5 linked regions of the Cricetulus griseus genome follow. The protein of the gene in region 3 purifies or fractionates together with the protein of the main gene of each other region. This does not show direct contact. Links are inferred from orthologs where the notes say so. Each region holds a gene or a part of one and is shown on either strand. Other genes may lie near its edges.

Region 1 (4,784 bases), on a different chromosome or scaffold from region 3:
GTGTGTGTATGTGTATGTGTGTGTGTGTGTGTGTGTGTGTGTGTATGAGTGTATTGTGTGGGGAGAGGGTAAGTGTGTGTGGGTGTGGGTGTGTGTGTGTGTATGTGGGTGGGGTATGTGTGTGTGTATGTGTGTGTGTATATGTGTGTGTGTGTGTGTATGTGTGTGTGTGTGTGTGTGTGTGTGTGTGTGTGTAGTCCTGGCTGGCCTCCTCCTGCATGTCTTTTTTTTGTTTTTAGATCTATTTATTTATTATATATACAGTGCTCTGGCATGTAGATGGTTGTGAGCCACCATGAGGTGGCTTGGTTGCTGGGAATTTTTGGCTTTTCAAGACAGGGTTTCTCTGTGGCTTTGGATCCTATTCTGGAACTAGCTCTTGTAGACCAGGCTGGTCTCAAACTCACAGAGATCCTCCTGCCTCTGCCTCCGGAGTGCTGGGATTACAGGCGTGCGCCACCACTTGTGTAAGGATTCAGACATTATGCTGGCCTGCCCGCAGTACCCTAGTCAGGCCAGGGTTCCATGGTTGTGTACTCTGCACGCAGGTGCAAAGGACCCCTTTGAAAGAAAGATCCCCACCCACTTAAACTCTCTTCTCTTTCCTGCTGTCTCCCTCTTCTCTTCTGTCCTCTCTCTGTCTCTGTGTCTCTTTGCCTCTTTTCTCCCTCTGTCTGCCTGGCATGTTTGATCCCCGCCTCGGTCAACCTTGGCCGCCATGGAATCTGACAAGGTTCCCCTCAAGCTTTATCATAATAAATTGAACTCAGGACCTCTGGAAGAGCAGTCAGTACTCTTAACCTCTGAGCCATCTCTCCAGCCCCCATTGCCTCTATATTTTAAGTGTGGAGATTACAGGTACTAATCATTCTGTCTTATGTACAGTTAACAAAACTAGAAATAGACATCTACCAAGACGAAAACACGGGAGGCAAAGGCAGGCAGTGCTTTGTGAGTTCAAGGACCCCCAAGGCTGTTACACAAAGAAACCAGAGAGAGAGAGAGAGAGAGAGAGAGAGAGAGAGAGAGAAGCACACAGTTTGAGGAAGATGAGATTTAAGTGGGGAAACAAGGCAAGTGAGTATGAAGGTGCACACCCGTGAGGCAGGGGGATCACTAGGTCCAGACCAGCCTGAGGGAAACTCTGTGTCTAGATAAACAGACAAACACAGGAGGACCACGGAAGGCAATACATTGGGAGGGGGAAGATTGGGCTCCCCCATTGTACATAATGATATTTTTCAAAATGGCTTACCAATGAAAAACCCTGTCAGATCTGTTGTGTCCTTAGGGTCATTCTCTATTAAAAGCTCTGGCTAAGTGTGGTGGCACACTTTGACCCCAGCACTCTGGGATTAAGGAAACCCTGTCTGGAAAAACAAACACAAAAGCAAACAAACACTACCCCCCCAAAACAAAAAAAACAAAAAAAACATGGCCAGGAGGTGTGGCTCTTTCCTTCAGACATTAGTACTGTAGAGGTTGACTGTAATTCCATTTTAGGGGGCTGAAGCAGAAGTGCCATGAATTTCACCAGCTGGGACTACACAGTGAGAACCTGGTTTCGTTTGTTTTCTGTTTGTTTACAAACAAACAAAAACAACAGAAGAGGAAACACACCAACAACAGAGTCCGCTGAACTCTATTCTAAGTAACTGTGGCTGTGCTCGAATCTAGTATTTACAAGGGGAAAAAAAAGTTCTGTGGGAATATGATATTTCCTTTAAGATGCAATAGTTTTGCCACCTACTTTCCCAATCTGATCAAGTATGCCCCCTTGGATGGCCATGTAATCTCACTTGGAAATCTTCCTCAAGGCTTTGTCTTAAGAAGAAAGATCATAGTCTTGGTTCCAGTAACTGGTACTAAAAAGGAAGCTTCTGGCCACCAGGGTTACAATCATTTGCCTATGAATAGCTGAGGAAGTCGTTTTGTTGTTGTTTTATGTTATTATTATTATCATGCTTCTTATTATTATTTATTGACAGTGTCTCACCGTGTATCCCTGGCTGGATACTTGCTATGGACTACAGTGGCTTCAAACTCACAGGAATCCTCATGCCTCTGTCTCTGCAGTACTGGGATTAAAGGCATGCAACACCACACCCTGCCAAGACAGCTATATTTTCAGATTGCTCCAGTGTTTATTCCTTACTGTGATCTCCAAATACTCGGGGTATGTCTGAAGTCTTGAAGATCAGACGTCTTCATCCGGTAAGCATTAGGAAAGAGATTGGTGTTTAACAGAATAGAGCAGAATGTAACAAATTAAGCAGCACCATCTACGGTCCAGGCTTTTTTACCGTTGTCCTGTTTGTGGACCTCTGGGGTGTTGAGCATGCTGCGTGTTGGGCGAAATGGGAACTGCACTGGCGGAAGTGGATGCCTCTGACACTGCTAATTAAGGAATGTGGAACCCTTCCTTTCTGAGTCAGCACCGAGGTATGTAGAACTCTGCCCAGCTCTCTGCTTACTGCATGGAAGTTTAGAAATACAACCAGAGTAGAGTGTCTTGCCTTTTAACGTTTAAGAAGCAGGAAGGAGGTGCAGGGTGTGTGTGTGTGTGCCCTCTCAAGTGCTGGTTTAAACAGTCCCTCATCTTTGGAAGGGTTCAGGGTAGCTGGCCCTTTTATCATCGGATCATGCTTACTGCGTGGATTCTGATGGCACATTGCTGTCCCAAAAGAGCATTGTATGCACCAGTAACAAGCCCCAGTTTTCAGTCACTAGAGTTTCATAACAAGGAAAACATCTCACAAGGTTGTTAAGATTTTAGTTTTAAATTTCTTTTTGGGCAAAGACATCTTTCGTTTCAAAGGTTGCTATTGGCAGGTTTATGGGAAATAGAGAAAAACAGGAAGTAGAGAAAAGGTCATTCATATCCCATTATTGAAAAAAATGACTATTTAGAGTATTCTGAACAAATTTGAGGTGCATGTAAATAGAATAGCAAAAATAGTAGAATAGTCCTCTCCAAACCAGCACCTGGCTCTATAATTTCAATGTGTTAGCCACAACTGTTTCAATTCTCTCCTTTTATAATTTGGGAAAATATTATAAATTTTTATTTATCATGTCAGTTTTCTATAGGTTTCTGTATATATCTTTAAGTATATATATAGTTATGTATAATTTATTAAAGAATTTTACACATTCCATGTTTTACAGATAGTTTGTTGGTATCACATAATATTTAATCCATACTAAAAATTTCCCTAATAAGAAAATGTTTTCAATTCTTTCTTTGTTCTTCACATTTATTTATTTATGTGTATGTACATACATGGGACACATGTGGAGGCCAGAGGACAACTTTTGGAAGTGAGTTTTTCCCTTTTCCCTGTGGGTCCTGGGTATTGAACACACACAGGTCATGAGGCTTGGCACCCAGTTCCTTTACCAGCTGAGCCATCTCCCTGGCCTGATTTTTCTTTTATTCTTTTTTAGGGGAGGAGGTGTTTTGAGACAGACTTTCTTTATGTAGCTCTGGCTGTCCTGTATCTCACTCTGCAGACCAGGCTGGCCTTTAACCCACAGAGGTTCACTTGCCTCTGCCTCTTTACTGCAGCGATTAAAGGTGTGACCAGAGATGCTGGGCTGATTTAAATTTCTTGTTTATTTATTTTGGTTTTCTCTCTGTTATAAAGCCTAGGCTGAGCCTCTTGCTTCAGTCTCTGAAAGGCTGCAATTTCAGGCTTGGACCATTTGCATGGTGGATTTAAACATTTTTCATGTGTTCCAGCATTCTTCATCATCATCTTTTTGCTTTCTTAGAAAAAGATTTGTAGGTTTTTTTTTTTTTTTTTTTTTTGAGACTCAGAGATCCTGCCTCTGTCTCCCAATTTCTGGGTAAGCGTGTGTGTCACTATGCCTAGCTTAATTTGTATTATTTATTTATTAATTTTTGTTTTTTTGAGACTTTGTTCCCTGAGTAGCCTTAGCTGTCCTGGAACTTGATTTGTAGACCAGGCTGGATTCAAACTCACTGAGATCCACTGGCCTCTGGAGTACTGGGATTAAAGGCATGCACCACCACCTCTGGGCTTAGTGTAACTACATCTTGGATTTTCTATTTGCTATCAAAACTATCTCCCAATGGGCTACTACAAATTAAAATAAAGTTTCAATTAATTAATTTATTAATTAATTTCAGTAAGGGTCTCTGGTAGCTCAAACTGTCCTGGTACTTACTGTGTAGCCAAGCATGACCTGAAACTCCAGATACCCCTCCTCTTGTCTCGAAGTACAGGGGTCACATAAAGCTCTGATTTCATCTTTTTTGTTGTTGTTGTTTTGTTTTTCGAGACAGGGTTTCTCTGTGTAGCTTTGGAGTCTATCCTGGCACTCGCTCTTGAGACCAGGCTGGCCTGGAACTCACAAAGATCCGCCTGCCTCTGTCTCCCTAGTGCTGGGATTAAAGGCGTGTGCCACCAACGCCCCGCTCTGATTTAATCTTTAAAAGATTTATTTCATTTTTTATTTATGGGTATGTGTGTGTACAGGTGTGCAGGTACTAGGTGAGGCCAGAATAACATGGGACCCCATGTTAGAAATTACAGGCAGGTTGTGAGTGGCTGTTGCTGGGTTTTGGGATCTGAACTCTGTAAGAGCTTCAAGCCTCCTAATGGCTGAGCCCTTTAGGAGGGGCTGAGTCCAAGTTTTGATTTTAAAATGGCTGTGCCTGCTAGTGTGGAATAACTCCTTTGACTTGGGGAAGCGTGGGCATTTTATCTCTGTAGCTATTGTTGCTGGGCAATCTCCTCTCCTAAGAACTCTTTCTCCTC
Region 2 (4,811 bases), on a different chromosome or scaffold from region 3:
CCAATTTGCTCAGCAGATCTTGAACCTCTCCCCTTCTCCAGGGGACCATGTATGTCTCTCTTAGGGACCTCCTTGTTTATTAGCTTCTTTGGCAGTGTGGATTGTAGGCTGGTAATCCTTACTCTTAAATCTAAAATCCCATATGAGCGAGTACATACCATGTTTGTCTTTTTGCGATTGGGTTACCTGGCTCAGAATGGTTTCTTCTAGATCCATCCATTTTCCTGCAAATTTCAAGATTCCATTGTTTTTTTTTTTTTTTTTTTTTTCCGCTGAGTAGTACTCCATTGTGTAAATGTACCACATTTTCTCTATCCATTCTTCGGTTGAGGGGCATCTAGGCTGCTTCCAGTTTCTGGCTATTACAAATAGTGCTGCTATGAACATGGTTGAACATATGTCCCTGCTGTATGAATGTACTTCTTTTGGGTATATGCCTAAGAGTGGAATTGCTGGATCTTACTTTAATATCACCTCTTTAGGGAGGAGGCAGTGTGCTTGTGTGCATGTAGAAGGAATTATAAATGGTAATAGTTAGGAGATGCGAGTGTTGCATTAGACTGTCAGCTCCCATCCTTTCCCTGGGCCTTGCAGGATGGCTTACACAGGTGCTCAATAAATGTCACTCTATTAAACACAGGGACTCAATTTTTCAAATCCTTTCTTTGGATTTCTGCTCTTCTCCCAGTGCCCAGCCAATACCACATCCAGTCTGATGCAGTAGGCAAAGCATGTGGAGTCTGATAAAGTTCGACACCCCTCCGGTCCTCAGACCATTCCTTAGCCGTTGACAGCATCACACTCCCCCCATCTACTGGAGCCTATAAAGAAATGGACATGCACGTGAATGCCAGCACTTTTGACAGCTTTATAAACACATATCGGTGCTCAGAACCGTGCTTATACTCAAGTCCCACGAATACTTATTCAATCCAGGAGGTACAACCTGCCATTAAAGTCTCTAAGTCAGTAACGAAGAGTTATCAGGGGCTGAGGAGGGGAGGAGAACACGCGAATCTCGGAAGGCGTGAGAATCTCCGACCACCACACAGCGGGAGAGCACCACCTTCTGAAGCCCTGGGGAGTGCTCAAGCGGGTTCCTCTCGGGGTCCCCGCGGCACGTGGCGGGCTGGGGCCGGAGCGTCGCGGTGGTGGGGGAGGGGAGCGGCGTGGGCCCCGCGGAGGGGTCCAGACAGCCCGGGATACGTTTGAGCAGGCGCCGAGTGCGCAGGCTCAGTCCGGGCGCAACCAGTACCTGCAGATCGGAGGGGGAACCCGACGGCTGCGGGGGTCCGGGCTGCGAGCGCGGAGCCGAGATCCGCTCCCTCGCACCTCGGGACTGCGTACGACCTAACTGTCACTACACCCCTCCCGCCCCATCCGGCGGCGTCCACGCCTAACCGACCCCTGCGTCCGTCTGCAGACGCGGTTTCCCCTGTCACTCCATAGTGGTCGCGCCCGCCTCCCAGCCCCGCCACCCTGGGCCTCCCCCGCCGAGTGTCGCGCGTCGGCGCCGCTGCCACCCCCGCTCGGTGATCACTGCCTTCCCGGCTCCGGCTCCCATCTCGCTCCGGGCCGTCCTTGTTCCGCGGGCCGCCGCGCCCGCTGTCCCCTCAGTCCCCCTTGTCTGGCCGCCGGGCCGCGGCGGGCGGGAGCAGCCGGAGGAGGAGCCGCAGCCGGGAGGGAGGCGGCGTCCCGAGCCCATGGCGTACAGTCAAGGAGGCGGCAAGAAGAAAGTGTGCTACTACTATGACGGTGGGTGGCCGTGGAGCCAACGGCGGGGCTGCGGGGAGGGCGCGGCGGAGCGGACGCGCCGCTCGGGGTGTTAAGGGTGGCTGTCTGCGGGGACAGGGACACGGCCTACCCGGCTTCGCGGTCGTGGCCCGGAGACGGCCGCCCTGGCTCCTCTCGGGTCCTCCGCACGGGCACGCGCAGGTTTGGGGTGTACTGCCTCGAACCGGTCCCCGAGGAACCCCACTCGGCACCCCGGGCCTGACTACACAAAGCCGGCGGCCTGGAGCTCCGCCCCACGTCCCCGTCCCCTCCCCCGCTCGCCGGGTCCCCCTTCTTGCTGGCGATCTGTCTGTGCTGCGCTTCCAAGCCTCACCGGGACCCCGCCGCTCGGGTGGGGCTGCGGAGGAGTTACTCCTGGCGGGAGGCCAAGTTCGCAGAGCGGCGCTGTCTCGCTCGTGTTTTGCGTGGACTCCATCCCTCGCCTTTGTTCGCCGGGTTCTTTGAGCGCCTCTTTCTCAGGGTTCGGACTGAAGGGCTGCATGCACTTCCTCGGTGACAATTAGGGGTTTGGAGTTGGAGCTAGGCAGGCCTGTGGGGAAGTAGTAAGAGGAGGGAGGTAAGCTTGGAGTTGTTCCTACTAGATGGGTCCTAGCATGCCTCTGTGGGAGGTTGTTACCACCCACGTCTTTGTTGCTCTTTGTTCGATATGCAGTTATACCCTGCTCTGGGGGGGTTAGGAGAAAACATGGGCACCTTGCTTAGGAAGGGTGGTGGGGACCCTGCTGCAGGAAACTTTTGAGAAGTGAACTAAATATTCCAAACAGGTAGGGTGGAGCTCACAATGTAGTTAGTGAATGGTACAAGGTGGTGGTAAGGGGTGATTTGGAGTATGGGCAATAATTGTCTGAGTTCTATAGGCTGAGCAGGTCTCGGGTCTCAGTTACACTAAGTAATGCCCTGTCTTTCGGATTTCACCAAGACATTAGTAGATGACTGTTGAGAGAAGGAATAATTTGACAGAACTAGCCTCATTGCCCTGAAAGACCTGACTGATAATCTACAAAGCAATGCAAAGTTGGGAGCTGTTTTCTATATTTTTTGTGTTGAAGTCACAGTATCTTGGAGAGGTAGATAAGAGCCTAGAGATCCTAGGCTGAATGAAACTGACTTTAACTTGAAAATAGTCCTACCTATTCTTGGTTTGGTGGAAATTTTTAATGCTTGGATTTTTTTTGGGGGGGTGGTAGGGGGCGGTTAGAGACAGGGTTTCTCTAGGTGTATCCCTGGCTGTCATGGAACTCGATCTGTAGACCAGGCTGGACTTGAACTCCCAGAAATCCTCCTGTTTCTGCCTCCCAAGTGTTTGGGTTAAAGGTGTGTGCCACCCCTGTTGAGCATTAATACCTGTTTTAATAATAATGATAATAATAATAATAATGAAAGACACCCATGTCTTTGGCTGGAAAATCAAAAACCTTGCAGAAAGCTAGGAGAAAATAGAGAAGACTATCTAAATGACATTTTGTTTTGTTTGGGGGCTTTTTTTTTTTTTTTTTTTTTTTTGAGACAGCCTCTCTGTATGTGGTCCTGACTGCCCTAGAATTCACTATGTAGGCTGATGTCTCACTTACAGAGATCCATCCACATGCCTCTGTCTCCACGTGCTGGGATTAAAGGTGAGTCCTTAAAGGTGAGTCCTTAAAGGCGTGCCCAGCTTAAATTTCAGAGGACTATGTATGTGTTGAATAAATTTATGTGAAGTTACACCATCATGGAGGGAAGAGATGGGAGAACCTGTCAGTTTAAACTTGAATTACATTGTGAAGTTGGATTCATGGCAAACACTTGTCCTGCATTCTCTGATCCACTGGAAAAGATGTAACCCTGTAAATGAATTTGAAAAATTATAATTATAGCTTTTCTAAAGTAAAGGCTCGATTTTTGTTAGAAAGGTTTAACAGTCGGAACGGGTGCTTAGGACCTTCAGCTGTCAGCTGCTGTTGTCAAACAGGACTGTAGCTGTTTCCTGAGCAGCTATTGGTTCCTGAGTTCATGTTTGGAGGTGAGCCATTGTTGAGGGGCAGGATAGGCACTGGTCACAGAGATGGGAGGAATGGAGGAGGTTTTCAGTCATTTGATTTTTTACATATGCCTAGTTGTAAGCAACCAACTGTATAACTGATGGTGGAAGTCTGCTGGGTTATCTGTCTCTTGTCTGTTCTTACTTGGTGTGTATTTAGAATACACTTACTTAACTTCTGAATATTTGCATTTGGGGGAGCTAACAAAACCACAGAGATTCTTAAATTGATGTCATGGTTATGCTGATTAACATGGGATGACATGCTAGACTACACAAATTATTCTCTACACTTCTGTCTTCAATGCCAAACCCTATTCTTGTTTTCAAAAAAAAAGCAGTGACTTAATTGTCTTTTAAATTGTGGACAGAGGGTGCCAAGTAAAGTAATTTTGTATAAGAAAAGCATATGACTTTTAGATGCACAAAGGGTTGGGTTGGCAAAGGGCAATACCAGTAGTAATGGGACTTGAATAATATACTAGTTTAAGCTAGCTGGGGTTTTTTGTTCTGTTTTTCGAGGCAGGGTTTCTCAGTGTAGCACTGACTGTCCTGGAACTCACTCTGTAGACCAGGCTGGCCTCAAAGTCACAGATCCGCCTGCCTCTGCCTCCTGAGTACTGGGATTAAAGGCTCATGCCAGCACCATCCCACTCTAAGCTAGCTGGTTTTAACTTGGTTGGTAGAGGAAGTAGAGGGAAGGAAAAGAAAAGCAGTGAAGAAGCAAATCCTGTAACCATGGCTGTCCTCTTCTTTGTAGGTTTAATGGGGCCAATAGGCACACACTGAGCCTCTAGGCAACTTAGAGTGTTTTCTCTGTGTGCTTAATGAAGAATACTCTGAAGATAAATGTGGTTTTCTCTGTGTTCTGTAGTCTTTGGAATTGTACCCTTTAAATCACAAATCCGCTGATCTTCTGTGAACCTTGGGATATGGGTATATGAGCTATCTATCCCTATACCTCAGAAGAGAAATTAGAGTTGTTCTTAATTGGTGG
Region 3 (4,742 bases):
GGCCACGTAAAAACTATCATATTATATTTGAGAGAGACCGTTACCGCGTTGCCATTCAGAAAAATCTGTAAACTATTTTAAAACCAGTTTGACTACAAAACGATCATAGAAACCCAACATCGCCGGTCTTGCGGGCAACATCTGTGCACTTTAGCAAACAGGCCCAGATAAAGTGCTCTCCAGAACGCACAGCGATGGGTCCAGGGGCTTGGAGGCCTCAAGCGGCCCATATACGCTATAAATTTCTTCAGTCTGTAGAAGGCCACACCACTCAAAGTGGCTCTCTGAATGGCACTCTCTGTGGCCTTCAAAGCTGTGACATTAGACCCCTCCTCTCGATCATTCAGCCCAACATCTCAAGTCGCTAGCACCCACAAAAGATTTAAAAACAATTGCACCCAAGGGCACTACTCAGCGCCCCTGTGGTCCTTAGAAGCCTCCCACCTAGTCTGGTTAGTAAGCTTAGGAGGCCCTGGGCGAAGGAGCTGGCTCCCTTCCGGGGACAGCGCTCGGATGTCGCAGGTCATGGCCAAGGAATCCAGCCCAGATGCTGTCTAGTCCCGCGCAGCCGAAGTGGCCCATCATCGTTGGGAGTCCAGATTCCAAACGCAGAACACCGAGACACTAGTGGACTCGTGAAAGGGCACCGCGCAAGCGACCCTCGGACCCCCAAGGCCTCATGCTGGGGATCCGACCCAAGGCAAGGCTTTCAAAATAGCCCCAGCGACATACAGACAGTAGAAAGACATTTTTTTTAAAAAAATATGTAAAAACACTTGGCTTCTCATAGCGAACACACCGCGGCAAGTTCCAGCACACAGAACAGTCTCCGCGCGCACCCGCAGCCGGCACGGTCTCCCGGATCTGGGATCGGGGAACGCAAGTGCCCCCTGTGGCCGGCCCGCGCCTGACCTCGCGGGCCTGGGACGGCACCGGTGGCCTGCGCAGGGCCCAGGAGGAAGTTGGAGCCTCGGGGCCGAGTAGAGGGCAGGTCTGCTGCGCGGGCGTGGTGGGGCCCTACCGAGCCGGGGCCACCCGGGGGACCGCGGCCAGGCCCGCTGGAGCTCGCGTCTCCCCACGTGGCGGGCCCCACGTGGAAGGGGCGGAGGAGGAAGGCTAGGGCGGGTGGAATCACCGCACCGGCCTCGGGACCCCCGCGCCTCCCGGGTGGCATGGGGCTGGGCTGGGGAGTGCCTGCCTTGCCCGGCCCCCTCGATTGCCCGCAGCGCCAGTATGCACTTTCGCGTAGCCGCTAATCCCTGGAGAGAGCCGATTTGTAGTGAGAAGTATCTGTAGGGGCGAGACCGGACCATGTGGGGTTGTGTCATTGGTTTGCAAAGAGAGACCCCGCCTTTGAAAAAAAAAAAAAAAAAGCGAGTGAGCGAGCGGGGACCCTCACCTCGCCTCCCGCCTCGCTCCTGCGCAGCCGGAGGGCACCGGAGCAGCGGCCCGCGCCGCTTCCGTCCTTCCCTTTCCTTTTCTCTGCGCTTTCCTCCTCCTTTCCGGGAGGAGAAAACAAATAAAGAAGAGCAAATAGCCGGGAGGCGCTTGGCTTCTAGGACCTTCCCTCCCCAGATCCAAGTTGCAGCCAGCATCCTCTGGGGGGTGAGCGCGGTGCGGCGCGGGCTCGGGCCGGGGACCCCCAGCGCAGCCCCCGCCTGGCCTCAGGGCTGGCGAGAGGGCGCGCGGCCGGGATGGGGGGGGGATCGGGAGCCGGTGGGCGGGGGAAGGGGGTGGGGTGGGTGGGGAAGTAGGAAGAGGCTCGGCGGCGACGGGAGGAGGAGGACGGGAAGGGAAGGAAGGGAGGGAAGGGAAGGGAAAGGAAGAGAGGGGAGGGCGGGAGGGGGTGGGGCGCGGAGCTGGAGAGATTAAGTTTTTGTGTGTGTGTCTCTGTGTGCGTGTGTCATTTTAAGGTGGCTCGGGAGCTGCCCAGAGGAGCCAGCGGCGGCTGAGGAGCGGGAGACCGAGCTGGGAGCCATGCCGCGCTGAGGGGGGGCCTCACCGCCAGCGCCACCACCACCACCGCCGCCGCCGCCGCCGCCGGGTGGGGTGGGAGGGGCGGGAGCCACCGCTACCGCCGCCGCCTCCCGGGTGGGCGCCCTTCTCCGTGGACGCCGGCGACCCAAGACGAGGTAAGAGGGGGGTCCTCGGGGAGGGCTGGGACTGCTGCCGCCCCCGCCTCACCTGCGGCCGCTGGCTGGGGCGCCGTGCCCGCGCCTCACTGCGCCACTCCGGGAGGAGGAGGGCGAAGGACACCGGGCCGGCATCCGAGGACATCTTTGGTCAGCGCCCCCGGCCCCGTGTCCACGCGCTGCGCCCGGGGGTGGACGCCCGACTGGGGGTTATCGCCCGCCGCCCCTCGCCACCGATTGCGCCTGCTGGCCGCCCTTTGCGCCAGGATTTTTGTTGTTGTGATGAGAGTTGATGAATGCGAAGTAGGCGGTCACCTTCCTTCCCATCAGGATTGGAAAAAAAAGGAAAGAAAAACCCGGAGCGCAGCGGCGTCCGGAGGGCAGCGGCGGCGGCGTCTGGCGACGGTTTCCTAGGCGCCCCCGGCTTGCTCCTGGAGCCGGGTGGGTAGGCGCGCGGGGGCCGCTGGCGATCTTGGACGAGCGCGCGGCGCGCCGCGGGGACAATACGGCCGGATCCCTGGGGACCAGGAGTCCGAGCGTACCGGGGTGCGGCAGGCCTTGCGCCTGTGAGGCGGGCGTGCGGCGGGCGGGGGTGGAGGGGAAGGAGAGGACGGGTCGGCGGGGACAAGTCGGGCGCGCGTGGCTCGGGGCCCCTGGGGGCGCGCCCCTGTCGGCCCGGGATCCCGTGCGGCTCCCGAGAGTGTAAGTGAGAGGCCGGGAAGGAGGCGAAGCGGATCCCTTTTGTTTTGCCGGCCCGGCATTGTTGGCTCCTTGGGGCAGCCGGGGCCACATCTGCCGCCGCCGCCGCCAGTGGCGCGCGGGGCTCGGCCCGCCAAAGTCGCGGCGGGGCGGGGGGCCGGGGCGGGCTGCAAGGGCGGGGGCGGGCGGCGCGGGCATTTCCTCTGCCCGGCCGCGCTCCCGCGGGCACCACTTCCTCCTCTCCCTGCGCCGGCTGTCCTCGGCGCCCTCACCCGGGCCGCACTTTTCGGGTGGGGCGAAGCAAAAAAGAAAGTTTCGTAGAAGGGGCTGATTGGGGCGCGCCTTGGGCACCAGGGACCCAGCGTGGCGTGGGCACGGTCGGGCCGCCGCATTCGCTTTCCTGCTACTGGTGTGCTCCGCGGAGCCGGACTCACCCGCAGGAAGAGCCTTTCTTCTCCGGCTCGCGCCCTCCCCAGTGCCTCGGGCTACTGGGGCTGGGCAGCGCGGGAGTGTCGGCGCACTCAGGCCTTGCTCCTCCGGGAGGCCCCGCGGCGTGGCCGGTCGCTTGCAGCCCATGCTGCGCCCAGGGGCTCGGAGGCCGCGGGCCCTAGAGCTTGGCGCGGTCACCGCGGGCACACACTCGCGCGCACACACTCCCTCCGGTGGCTTGCTTTCCGCCAGAGACGATGGTGGCAGACACCGAGGGTGAGAGCGCGCGCGTGTTTGTGGTACCCCTGCCCAGCCCCCACCCCTTACTTTTCCCAGAGGCGGCCCAAACAGCGGTTGGCTCCAGGGTACCCCTACGTTTGGGATTTTGTAGGGAATCGGGGGGAATATTTCGTGAAATCTATGCGTGCTAGGAGGCTGCTGGCAGTGGCCTACGTCGCCACGCCAGGCTCCCAACCTCGGGGAAACAGACCTTCCTGGATATTTGCCCTCTTTTCTTTAAAAATCAGAAATGGGAACTTCTTAGAGAGTCCTTGGTTGCGAGTGTCTTGAAGGGTAGGAAAGAACTCGATGCGTTGGAAATTTAAAATGCTGAACTCCTTTATTTGCGATTCTTTGGGTCGTGTGTATTTTTATCTGAGGTGGGTGGTTTTGAGGGAACATTGCATTGGGGTGGAGGGATTACAAAAGTGGTTCTGCTTTCTAACTTTGACGGGATGCATCAACTGTGGGACCTCTTTTCGAAGGAGATACCGCCTTCTCTCTCTTCGTGCTGGGTTCAAAGACAGTTTAAATTTTACCTCGCGCTCGGCTCCTGGGGCTGCTGTTTGCCTTTAGATAGATTCTCAAAGAACTAATTTCCATTTACTTCGGAGAATTCTGATTTCAAACATTTTTCAAAATAAATCTTTTACATCTTGAGTAATGGGGCTTTAAAAGGATCTTGTTTTTTTTTTATAATCAATTGATTTCAAAGAGTACTTCTTAACAGCAATTACAAAGTAATATTTTACATGCTAATTCAACATTTTCAGCCCTAGCAACTTTAATTCGAAAACAAGGTTTCCTTTTTTTGTTTGTTTGTTTCCTAAATAGCAACTGTATCTTAAAGTTGGAACATTGAATATCCTTTTGTCTGGCTGTAACACACTCCTGGAAAAAACCCCCAGTGCCCTTTTTATGGCCCCCCAAAGAAAAGTTAATGAGCTGGTAGGTTTCAAGCAAGAAGCAGGTCCTCCCTCTTACAAAATATGCTTATAGTCGCCATTGAAGTTGAATGTTAGCCGTGAATGTACTTGCCTTTAATGAAACCAGTCTAATCGTTCACACTTGATCAAGTATAACATGACCAAACAAAGGAAATAAGCCAGCATATTTCTGTAGAGCATTGAGGGGTTTAGTGTAAGTGTTGATGTTGGGTCGCCCCTCCCCCCACCCGCCCCAGTTCAAGAGAGAGGGTTGAAA
Region 4 (3,741 bases), on a different chromosome or scaffold from region 3:
CCTGGCAGGGCTTTTCTTGCCTTATTGACAGTTTGTAAAAATATGCATTAATTTGGAGCTTCAAGCATGTATCATGGTGTCTCTCTGCTGTGTTTGCTTGAAGTTGATTAATGATAGACCCTCGCTTGGGGTCGTCCTCTGGAGGGTTCTTTCACAGGGTCTGCATGTTAACTAGCAGAGCAGAACACACAGCGAGTCATGATTAGCCCAGCCAGCCTCCTGTGCTCAGTGGTCCCCATGAACCACTGCCGTATTACAGATTCCCGTTTCACGTAATTACTTGCAGGGTGGCATTCATCCACCCAGGATGTCTCTACGAGGCCTGTTATTTGGCACTCCGAAGTGTGGTCCCAGGACCAGCACCATCACCCGGAATCTCTTAGAAACACAGAGTCTGAGCTCCATCCGCTGTACGTCACAAGGCCCTCCAGTAACTCATGCGTCCTGAAAAGCAGGAGAAATAATTTCTGTACAGAATCCTTCCTAAAACAGGGATGTCCACCAGATCTTTCATTGAGTGGCCCAGAAGCCCCTGGACACATGTGGTCCCTAGACCCTTGGGATGTAGGCAGTGAAAATGACAACAGACATGAAGTTATAGCAAGTTTCCCACCATATTTGAAAAACACACGTGGCCAGGGTGACTCTGCCTCTACTGGATAGTGTTGTTGCTATAGGATACATCTTCTAAGTTACCCCAACACCAGTTGTATGTACATCAATCCAGAAGCCCTCTAAGCCTGTTTCTCTCTCCCTCTGTAGGCACCCTGTACACGTCAAAGAGGAACCCCTTGACCCTGAGGAAGCGGAAGGGCCTCTGTCCTTAGTGACAACAGCCAACCACAGTCCAGATTTTGACCATGACAGAGATTATGAAGACGAACCAGTAAATGAGGACATGGAGTGAACCTCTGGGCGGGCCGACCCCTGAGACAGAAGATTGGGAAAAAAGCAAAACAAAAACAAATTAAAAAAAAAAATAACACGTCAAAAGTTAGCAGTGAAACCTTTCTCCGCTTGTTGTACAGTCTGGAGGATTTTTCGCTACATTTTGACAACTCTGAAATGTGTTAACTCTTAGTGCCATCAAGAATCCCATTTGGGAGTATTTTTGATTTTTCTACTTTTTGTTGACAAAAGGGATTTGTACTCTGTGCATTGGATGGACCTGTTTGGTACTTGGGATTTTCCTCTTTGAGTCAACATCAGTGTTGTAAATTCGATAAACGGATTCACTTTTAGCAGCAGACTTTGAACTGCAGTTTTGTCCTGCCAAGGCCGACACCGAGGACACCCGACTGAGCTCGCGCACCTGCGCCGCAGACCAAGCCTTCGCCCGAATTCAAGATTCCAGTGGACGACCTATTTGCACAGCACTGCATGTTGATATCACTGCCTTTACTCACTTTGGTTTTCTTTTTGTTTGTTTGTTTTTGTTTTTGTTTTTGCTTCCAGTTGGGATGGGGAAGGCCTTTGTGTGTTTATTGGGGGGAGGGGTTAAAAATAATTATCCCAAACTTTTTAATGTATTGCTTTTTTTTTTTTTTTTTTTTTTTTTTTTTTTTTGCTTCTTCTATACCATTTTAAGTTCTGACCTCAGGCCTCCATTTGGGCCCATGGCCTCTTGGAGGCTTCACGTTTTCTGTACCTTGTGATGAATGTTAATAGGTGTTTTTATTATACAAAGCTGAATGTCATTTCTCGTCTGTAGTTTTCTGGCACTCATTCCATTTTCCTATAGACATCACCACGTTTCTCTCAAGTTTAAAAAAACAAAACAAAACATTCCGTTTTGGTCTTTTTTTCCAAAAATTAAAAAAAAAAAAAAAGATCCCAAAGGCTGCACCTTACACCTGAAGGTCCTCTCACAGGGACATGGTGTCCTGCCAGAAAGAGAACGAATGACAGAAAAGGAGAGAGAAACACACGCACATACTCTAGGAACATAGCAGATTCATTTCACAAAAGCAGTATTGGGGTGGGATGGGAATGTTGGAGATTTTTCTTTTCATAGAGCCCGCCATTGTGAGTAACTGCTGCCACATTCTCTCAACGTCAGGAAACACAGCCAAGAGGAGACGATGACAAGAGTAAACAATCCTTAATAATTAGACTGGCATGATGACCACGGAAGGCTCTCCCCCCCACCCCCTTATAATCAAGTGGCCAGGACCACAGATTCTGTGTCGTCCTTAACAGCAGGGGTTGCTTTGTTTGCAAAATGACCAAAAAGCCAGCTTCCCTGACTAACTTTACTCAACATGGTGATAGTGCTGAGTTTGTGCATCGGTTGAGACCAGCTTGGTGGCGCTCATCTATTTTAATGCAAACGAGACATCACCTTGCACTTATTATGGGAGCTAATGAGCACTGAGCCCAGTAGATGGTGATGTGTTGGTTTCCAGGATGCAGAGTCTACACTGCAGTTGAGCCTGCAGTGTGATAGTCTCACACCACCCGAGTAGCACAGACTTAACAGGTGACACCAGTAGACAGACTGAGGCTTCTGGGACCAGGGCCCACAGAATTCGATGGCTCTAGGTCGGTATACCCCTCAGCCCTTCAAACCCCTCCACACTTCCATCTGCACCCACTTCCCTGGCATTTATTTATCTAGGGCTGTAGCTTTTTGTTTGGGTTTAGTTGGAGAGCCTTTCGAAGCTTAATTTATATACTTTGTACCTTTTATTTCTAAAATTACCAAAGATATTATGCAAAGGTAAATTATTTTCTTTTATGCTTTATCTGATGAAGCCAAATATCCTCTTATTGTTGATCAAAGGAGGCAAAAGGATTCAGAGGCAAATGATGAGGTCCAGGCTGTTTGCCAACCCGAGGGAAATAACTGCCCCTCCAACAGAGTTCATTTAGCAGACTAAGTAGGCAATGGAACCAAAGTTTTTTACTTTTTTCTACTTTTTTTCCTTTTCCTTTTCTGTACTTGTACAGAGACCAAAACTAACTCCTGTAAGGAGAAAATATGGGGCTACTGCAGAGAAAAAAAAAAATACAAACAGGAAAACAGTATTATAGCTCCTACGGAAAGAATGAGATACCATCTCAGAAAAAGAAATGAATGTATGATGCTGAAATTAGTGTGTAAATCAAGGAGACACTTAGGATGACTTAGGAGAACAGAAAAGTGTCTGACTGCACTAGGCCACTTCTAGAATAAAGAGTTTTTGGTTTTGTTTTTGGTTTTTTTTTTTTTTTTTTTTTTTTTTTTTTTTTTTTTTTTTTTTTTTTTTTTAGAACATTGGTATGCCACTTTTGTTTAAGGGCTGTGCTGTGATCACTGCATTAGTTTTGTTTTATCTTGGCACATATATCCTCTAGTTCTAGATTCTTCCTGCTTTTTGTTGTTGTTTTTCCTTTCTCAGACTACGGTTTGGTCAGCATTTTTCCTTTACACACACACGAAAAGGTAGCATTCCCATCCACTCATCAGCTTAGAATAGAACGTCTTTGGCAATTACTTCTGAAGCTTTGCTCTGCTTTCCGTAGAGGGGCAGTCTGTGGTTACTCATGCCCCCAACCCCCACTTTTCTAGGCAGCTTCATGATGTGCAGGCAGTAGCCAGGCAGGGTCATGGGAGAGGGGGGCCTGTGCTTCTAAACTGAGTGGTTGCTGGTTAGATATTCAAAAGAGGATAAAAATCTGGTAGATTAGTTCATTCTCAGCATGTGTAGCTAGACATGAGTAAAGATAACAGCATGAGAACTGTTAGTACGCATACCTCAG
Region 5 (4,760 bases), about 140 Mb from region 3:
TCAACAATAAAAAGGGGGAAGGAAAACATCACATAGAATAGAACTTTGGGAAAGAGAAATATTTCTAAATACAACAAAGCATTAAACTATAAACAGAAAAATCAATTTTAGCAACTGTAATGCCATTCCTTTAGATGGCTAGCATCATTACCATATTGTCCCCACAGAAGGTTTGATGATCTAGCCAAACCTGCTCAATTGCTACACCCTTGTTAAGTTATAGTTTTTGATGCTGTCATCAGTATCCTAGCCTGCAGACACATTCTAGGAAGGAAATAAAAATGTTTTGCTGCTGGCTTAGCTGTAAAATCTATATACCTTATTTCAAAAATTGAATACAAATATAATCTATACATAAATAACAAAATATCTCTATTACTATCTCCTACTGTATACACCACTATTTATTCATTTAAATAAAATTTAAGAGTTAATATCTTTCCAGATAATTCTCTCCCCAAACAACTGCAACTTAAATATGACTGCGTTGCTAAGAAATATCAGTCAGCACCTATTCCCAGATTTCACAACACAATGCATATAACTTCATTTTAAATTTGCAAAAATAGCAGCTAAATCAAACAGCATGGCTGCAACGGTCAGCGATGGATGAAAGCATTAGAGAACAAAAAGAAATACAAAGAGAGAGCCAAAAGTGATGAAAATGGAAGATACCTGTGGTAGCACAGCGCTATCTCACACACCTTTTGTTTTCTCGGAGTAATGCATACTGCAGTCAAGACATTTCAGGCTCAAGAGCCCCAAATCTGTTTTTCTAATATTAAACACAAAGGAAGAACACTGACAGCAAACGTGGTAAATAAATCCCTCCCCTGAGAAGGAAGGCGGCAAACAGGAGGGGGCTGACATACATGCAGGAGAAAACTAAACACCATCTTTTTTCTACCTGCACAAGTTGCCATTTGCTGCAGCGATCAAGAATCTCTTTCCTGTTGATTTCAAGCACCTTTCGGGATAGCTTTTCACCCTTAAGTCATCTGTTGATATGCCTTATGTGTGTGATATTAATATCACAGGATCTCTAGGAGAAAAATCCATTCTTTCCTGTTCAGGTAAACATGTTTACAGCAGCTGCACAGACGCTGGGTGGTTCAGACTCACATGTCACACACATGTCGTCAGCAACAAGAAAAGCCCCTTTCTCTGGCGATCAACATTTTAAATAAGGTAAGGTCAACGAACAGCCCTTTTCTAACCAACTTACCTTTCATAAAGCCACATCAGCAATAGCGGCAACAGCTCAATGTAGAACAGACACTATTTGACGCTAGAAGCAGGAAATTACAATTGCAGTAGCCTGTGCTCGGGTCCTTGCCACAACCAGTCACCTCTCCACAATGACGCTACACACCTTTCCCTCTGAACGAACAGGCTTCTCTGAAACGCAACGTTTTTCTGAACAACTGAAAAATCATTCATGGCAGCGGGGATTTTAATGTAGGCACAGATATATTCAAAATGTGTTTACAACAGAGAGGAAACCTCTTTGGAACAGCCTAAAATCTTCCTATCTGTTTCTAGACAGGAAATCCCACACAAAATCTAAAATTGCCAGGAAAGGTTACAAAACCTGGCGTTTGGCATCCCGGAGGGGAGGGAGCAAGACAGACCAGGCGGGGGTGGGGCGCGGGGGGCGCGCCAGGGTTGCCACTTAAACAGGATTTCCTAGTTCTCCGGACGCCACATCGATGCCATCAGGGGCGCATTTATTCCCCCATTCTTAAAAAACAAAACAAAACAAAAAAACCCTCGTCGTTTAACGCCCCGCGGGAGCCCCACGGAGCCACCGGGTGCGAAAGGCACGAGGAATTCCTTATATAGCAGCGGCCACAGCAGCACAGGGCTGTGGCCGCCCATCACCACACACAGGTACCCGGGCGGGGGCATCCCCCCGGGCCGCCGCCGCAGGGACTGTCCAGACAATGACCAAGAGCAGACGGCTGTCCGCGCCGCGAGCCGAGAGCACACACTCGCCTAGGAGAGGCACCATCCAGCAACTCTTTCGCCTCCCCACGCTGGGAGAGCCCACGATGCACCCACCGATACAGGTCCGGGTGTCGCGCTCTCTCCTGGTGCCTGTGGCTTTCCCTCTTTCTTAAAAAACAAAACAAAAACAAAAAGACCACCACCACTAACAACAACAACAACAACAAAAAACTCTGCAGCCAGGCCAAGGAGTATTTCCCTGGCACATTCGCGCAAATCAATACCCCGCGCAGCTGCACCGCCAGCCGCAGCCCCGTGCGCCCGTCGGGCCGCCCGCCCCCTCCCCCACCCGCCCCACTCGCGACCCCGAGCGCCAGCCCAACTCCCATTATCTGCCCTCGGCTCGCGCGTCCGGCCCAGGTAACAACTTCCCCAAACCGAAAGAGTCAAAGCCAGGCGCATGCACACAGCCCCGTGCCCGCGGGGACTCGGGCTGCCCGGGCGTCCCGACCAGTCTTGTGCTGCTTCCCGGCGGCGAGCGGCAGGCGGCGAGTCCACGCACACGCTCGCCCCACGGCAGCAGCAGCTAGGAGCCGCCCGACCCTGCTCAGCCCACGACGGTCACCGCACGCGCCGACTTCCAGCCCCGCGAGCGCCCGGCTAGCGGCGTCCCCGCGCGTCCCCATCCCCGCCCGCCCGCCCGCCAGCCCGCGAGCGCGCGAGGCGCAACTTTACCGCGGGCGCCCGACCCGGCGCGCAGCGCCCGCTCCCGCGCACACGCGCGCACGGCCGACACGCAGCCGACACGCAACCGGCCCGCGGCCGCCCGTCCTCTCCCGCCCGCCCGCCCCGCAGCCCGCGCGCCCGCCCGCCCGCCGCAAGTTTGTTCCCCGCCGCCGCGGCCTGCGCGGAGGGAGGATCGCGCGCGGGGAGACGCCGAGGGGCGGCAAGAGTGGAGAAAGTGCGGAAAGAAGCAACAGCCGCTCCACCCGCGGGCGGAAAAGTGGCCGGGCGCGGCGGCGGGATGCGGCGCGGCTAACGGTCCCCGGCGGCCGCGCGAGCCGCTAGGCGCAGAGGCAGGTAAGACATAACGGTCCAGGACGGCGGCCGCGGCGGCGGCGGCAGCGGGGCGCACTACTTTACTTTCCCACTCCACTCGGCCCGGCCCCGCCGCCGCCCCCGGCCCGCTCGGCCCAGCGCCCCTCGCCCGGCCGCCCGCTGCCCGCCGCCGCGCCGGGCCCCTCCGCCACTCACCGTTATTGCGCCGCGGGTTCGCCTGCTTTCTGCGCTTACACCTGGGGCCATCCGCCATGATCCTCTCGCTTGTGTCTAAATGCTCGAGTCACCTCCTCCCCCTCCTCCCTCCCTCCCTCCCTCCCCTTCCCCCCCCCACACCCGCCGCCTCCACCCCTCCCCCTCCCCACCGCACCTGGTTTACGACACTCGCGGCTTTACGACATCACCTTCCTAACACCTAGCGGCGCTCGCTCTACGGCCGGAACCTTGTTGCTAGGGCCGGGGCGGTTTGCGGCAGCTTCGGACGCTGCGGAGTTTGAATTGGGGAGGCGAGGGAAAAGTTTTGCTCAGGTGTGATGGGGTGACAGAGGAGGGTGCTGACACCCCGGGGACCGGGCCGGGAGGCGACAGGGTGGCCTCGTGGACCAGGTGGAGCTGGCGGCGTGGGCCACACCCGCGCGCAGACCCCCGCGGACGGGTGCGCACTCCTCGGATGCCGCGCGCTCCAGCTGTCGGCGCGGCGAGCCGCGCGTGCGCGCCGGGGACGTGGGCAGCGTGGACGCGCGGCGAGCTACCTGGCCAGTTCTGCCTGACTCCCCTCCCCTCCCACAGACGCGCGGGTTTCCCCGGCCTACCCGGACGGGAAGTGACAGCAGTTGGGTTGAACTTCATCTGGACAGAGAAGGAGGCGAGAAATTCCGCTCTCAGGAAAGCAGCATGAGTAATCCCCGCACGGTGCCAGGCTCACTTCCTCATCCGCGCCTACCTCACCTGCTGTCACCTTGCCTACCCCGCCCTGCAGGGGTCCCAGGGTGGCCAGGCTGTGGGCCTTGAGACTCGCCCTTGAGGCATAAGCACCCTAGGAGAGCAGTCCTGGAAAACGTATTAATCCCAAGTGCCAGAGAGAGAGAGAGTGTGAGGCAGGAGGATGGCCAAGTGTTCGAGGCCAGCCTGCACTACAGTGGAGCTCTGCCTCAAAATAGCTAGAGTTTCACACACACACACATCTGAGCAGTACAGTGTCCTCGAGGCTAAAAGCAAAGCTGAGGCTGATTTTTACCTGAAGTCCGTGACTTTGTACAAGACCCAAAATGCCTTGATTCTCGTCTTCAGTAATTAGGATTTAAGTTTACCTTTCTCGACAGGCGTTGGTGGGTCACGCCTTTAATCCCAGCACTTGGGAGGCGGAGGCAGCCGGCTCTCCGTGAGTTCGAGGCCAGCCTGGTCTACAGAGAGAGTGCCAGGATAGGCTCCAAAGCTACACGGAGAAACCCTATCTTGAAACACCCCCCCCCCCAAAAAAAAAAAAACAAAGAAAAGAAAGATCTGGGCTAGAAATGGGCCTTCCCACTTCAAATGATTTAATTAAGAAACAAGAAAAGTAAATTTACCTTTCTCTCCCTGTTTCCCACCCCTTTTAAAGGGGGAATTGTATGGGGCAACTTTATGAGATAAATGACCTAAGCCATTATTTCAAATATGTAATTATTAAATGTTAGTGTATAAATGGGAGAGTTGTGGATAGAAACAACTGAAACATGCCTTGGAGTATAAGGAATAATATACTAAACCAGCAC

The links.
Region 1: the proteins of Ctbp2 (region 3) and Znf217 purify together in Homo sapiens (affinity purification with mass spectrometry; 7 studies listed by BioGRID and IntAct, with this or other methods). This does not show direct contact. The link is inferred for Cricetulus griseus from reciprocal best matches to the Homo sapiens genes CTBP2 and ZNF217.
Region 2: the proteins of Ctbp2 (region 3) and Hdac2 purify together in Homo sapiens (affinity purification with mass spectrometry; 5 studies listed by BioGRID and IntAct, with this or other methods). This does not show direct contact. The link is inferred for Cricetulus griseus from reciprocal best matches to the Homo sapiens genes CTBP2 and HDAC2.
Region 4: the proteins of Ctbp2 (region 3) and Foxp1 purify together in Homo sapiens (affinity purification with mass spectrometry; 3 studies listed by BioGRID and IntAct, with this or other methods). This does not show direct contact. The link is inferred for Cricetulus griseus from reciprocal best matches to the Homo sapiens genes CTBP2 and FOXP1.
Region 5: the proteins of Ctbp2 (region 3) and Zeb1 purify together in Homo sapiens (affinity purification with western blotting; 5 studies listed by BioGRID and IntAct, with this or other methods). This does not show direct contact. The link is inferred for Cricetulus griseus from reciprocal best matches to the Homo sapiens genes CTBP2 and ZEB1.

What each region holds. Positions count from the first base shown.
Region 1 is NC_048599.1:9,187,093-9,191,876, forward strand, and holds the start of Znf217 (zinc finger protein 217), read left to right. Parts: upstream 1-1,877; 5' UTR 1,878-2,214; intron 2,215-4,784.
Region 2 is NC_048595.1:259,837,426-259,842,236, forward strand, and holds the start of Hdac2 (histone deacetylase 2), read left to right. Parts: upstream 1-1,488; 5' UTR 1,489-1,703; coding exon 1,704-1,755; intron 1,756-4,811. UniProt on the Homo sapiens protein: Histone deacetylase that catalyzes the deacetylation of lysine residues on the N-terminal part of the core histones (H2A, H2B, H3 and H4).
Region 3 is NC_048596.1:67,722,659-67,727,400, forward strand, and holds the start of Ctbp2 (C-terminal-binding protein 2), read left to right. Parts: upstream 1-1,761; intron 1,762-1,854; exon of another isoform or gene 1,855-1,913; 5' UTR 1,914-2,132; intron 2,133-2,184; coding exon of another isoform or gene 2,185-2,277; intron 2,278-2,552; exon of another isoform or gene 2,553-2,573; intron 2,574-4,742. Other genes in the region: translation initiation factor IF-2-like, read right to left, coding at 678-1,290, 1,400-1,761, 2,185-2,277. UniProt on the Homo sapiens protein: Corepressor targeting diverse transcription regulators. Functions in brown adipose tissue (BAT) differentiation. Isoform 2 probably acts as a scaffold for specialized synapses.
Region 4 is NC_048601.1:45,049,673-45,053,413, forward strand, and holds part of Foxp1 (forkhead box protein P1), read left to right. Parts: intron 1-762; coding exon 763-907; 3' UTR 908-3,741. UniProt on the Homo sapiens protein: Transcriptional repressor. Can act with CTBP1 to synergistically repress transcription but CTPBP1 is not essential. Plays an important role in the specification and differentiation of lung epithelium.
Region 5 is NC_048596.1:208,794,744-208,799,503, forward strand, and holds the start of Zeb1 (zinc finger E-box-binding homeobox 1), read right to left. Parts: upstream 3,314-4,760; 5' UTR 3,260-3,313; coding exon 3,202-3,259; intron 3,028-3,201; exon of another isoform or gene 2,662-3,027; intron 1-2,661. UniProt on the Homo sapiens protein: Acts as a transcriptional repressor. Inhibits interleukin-2 (IL-2) gene expression. Enhances or represses the promoter activity of the ATP1A1 gene depending on the quantity of cDNA and on the cell type.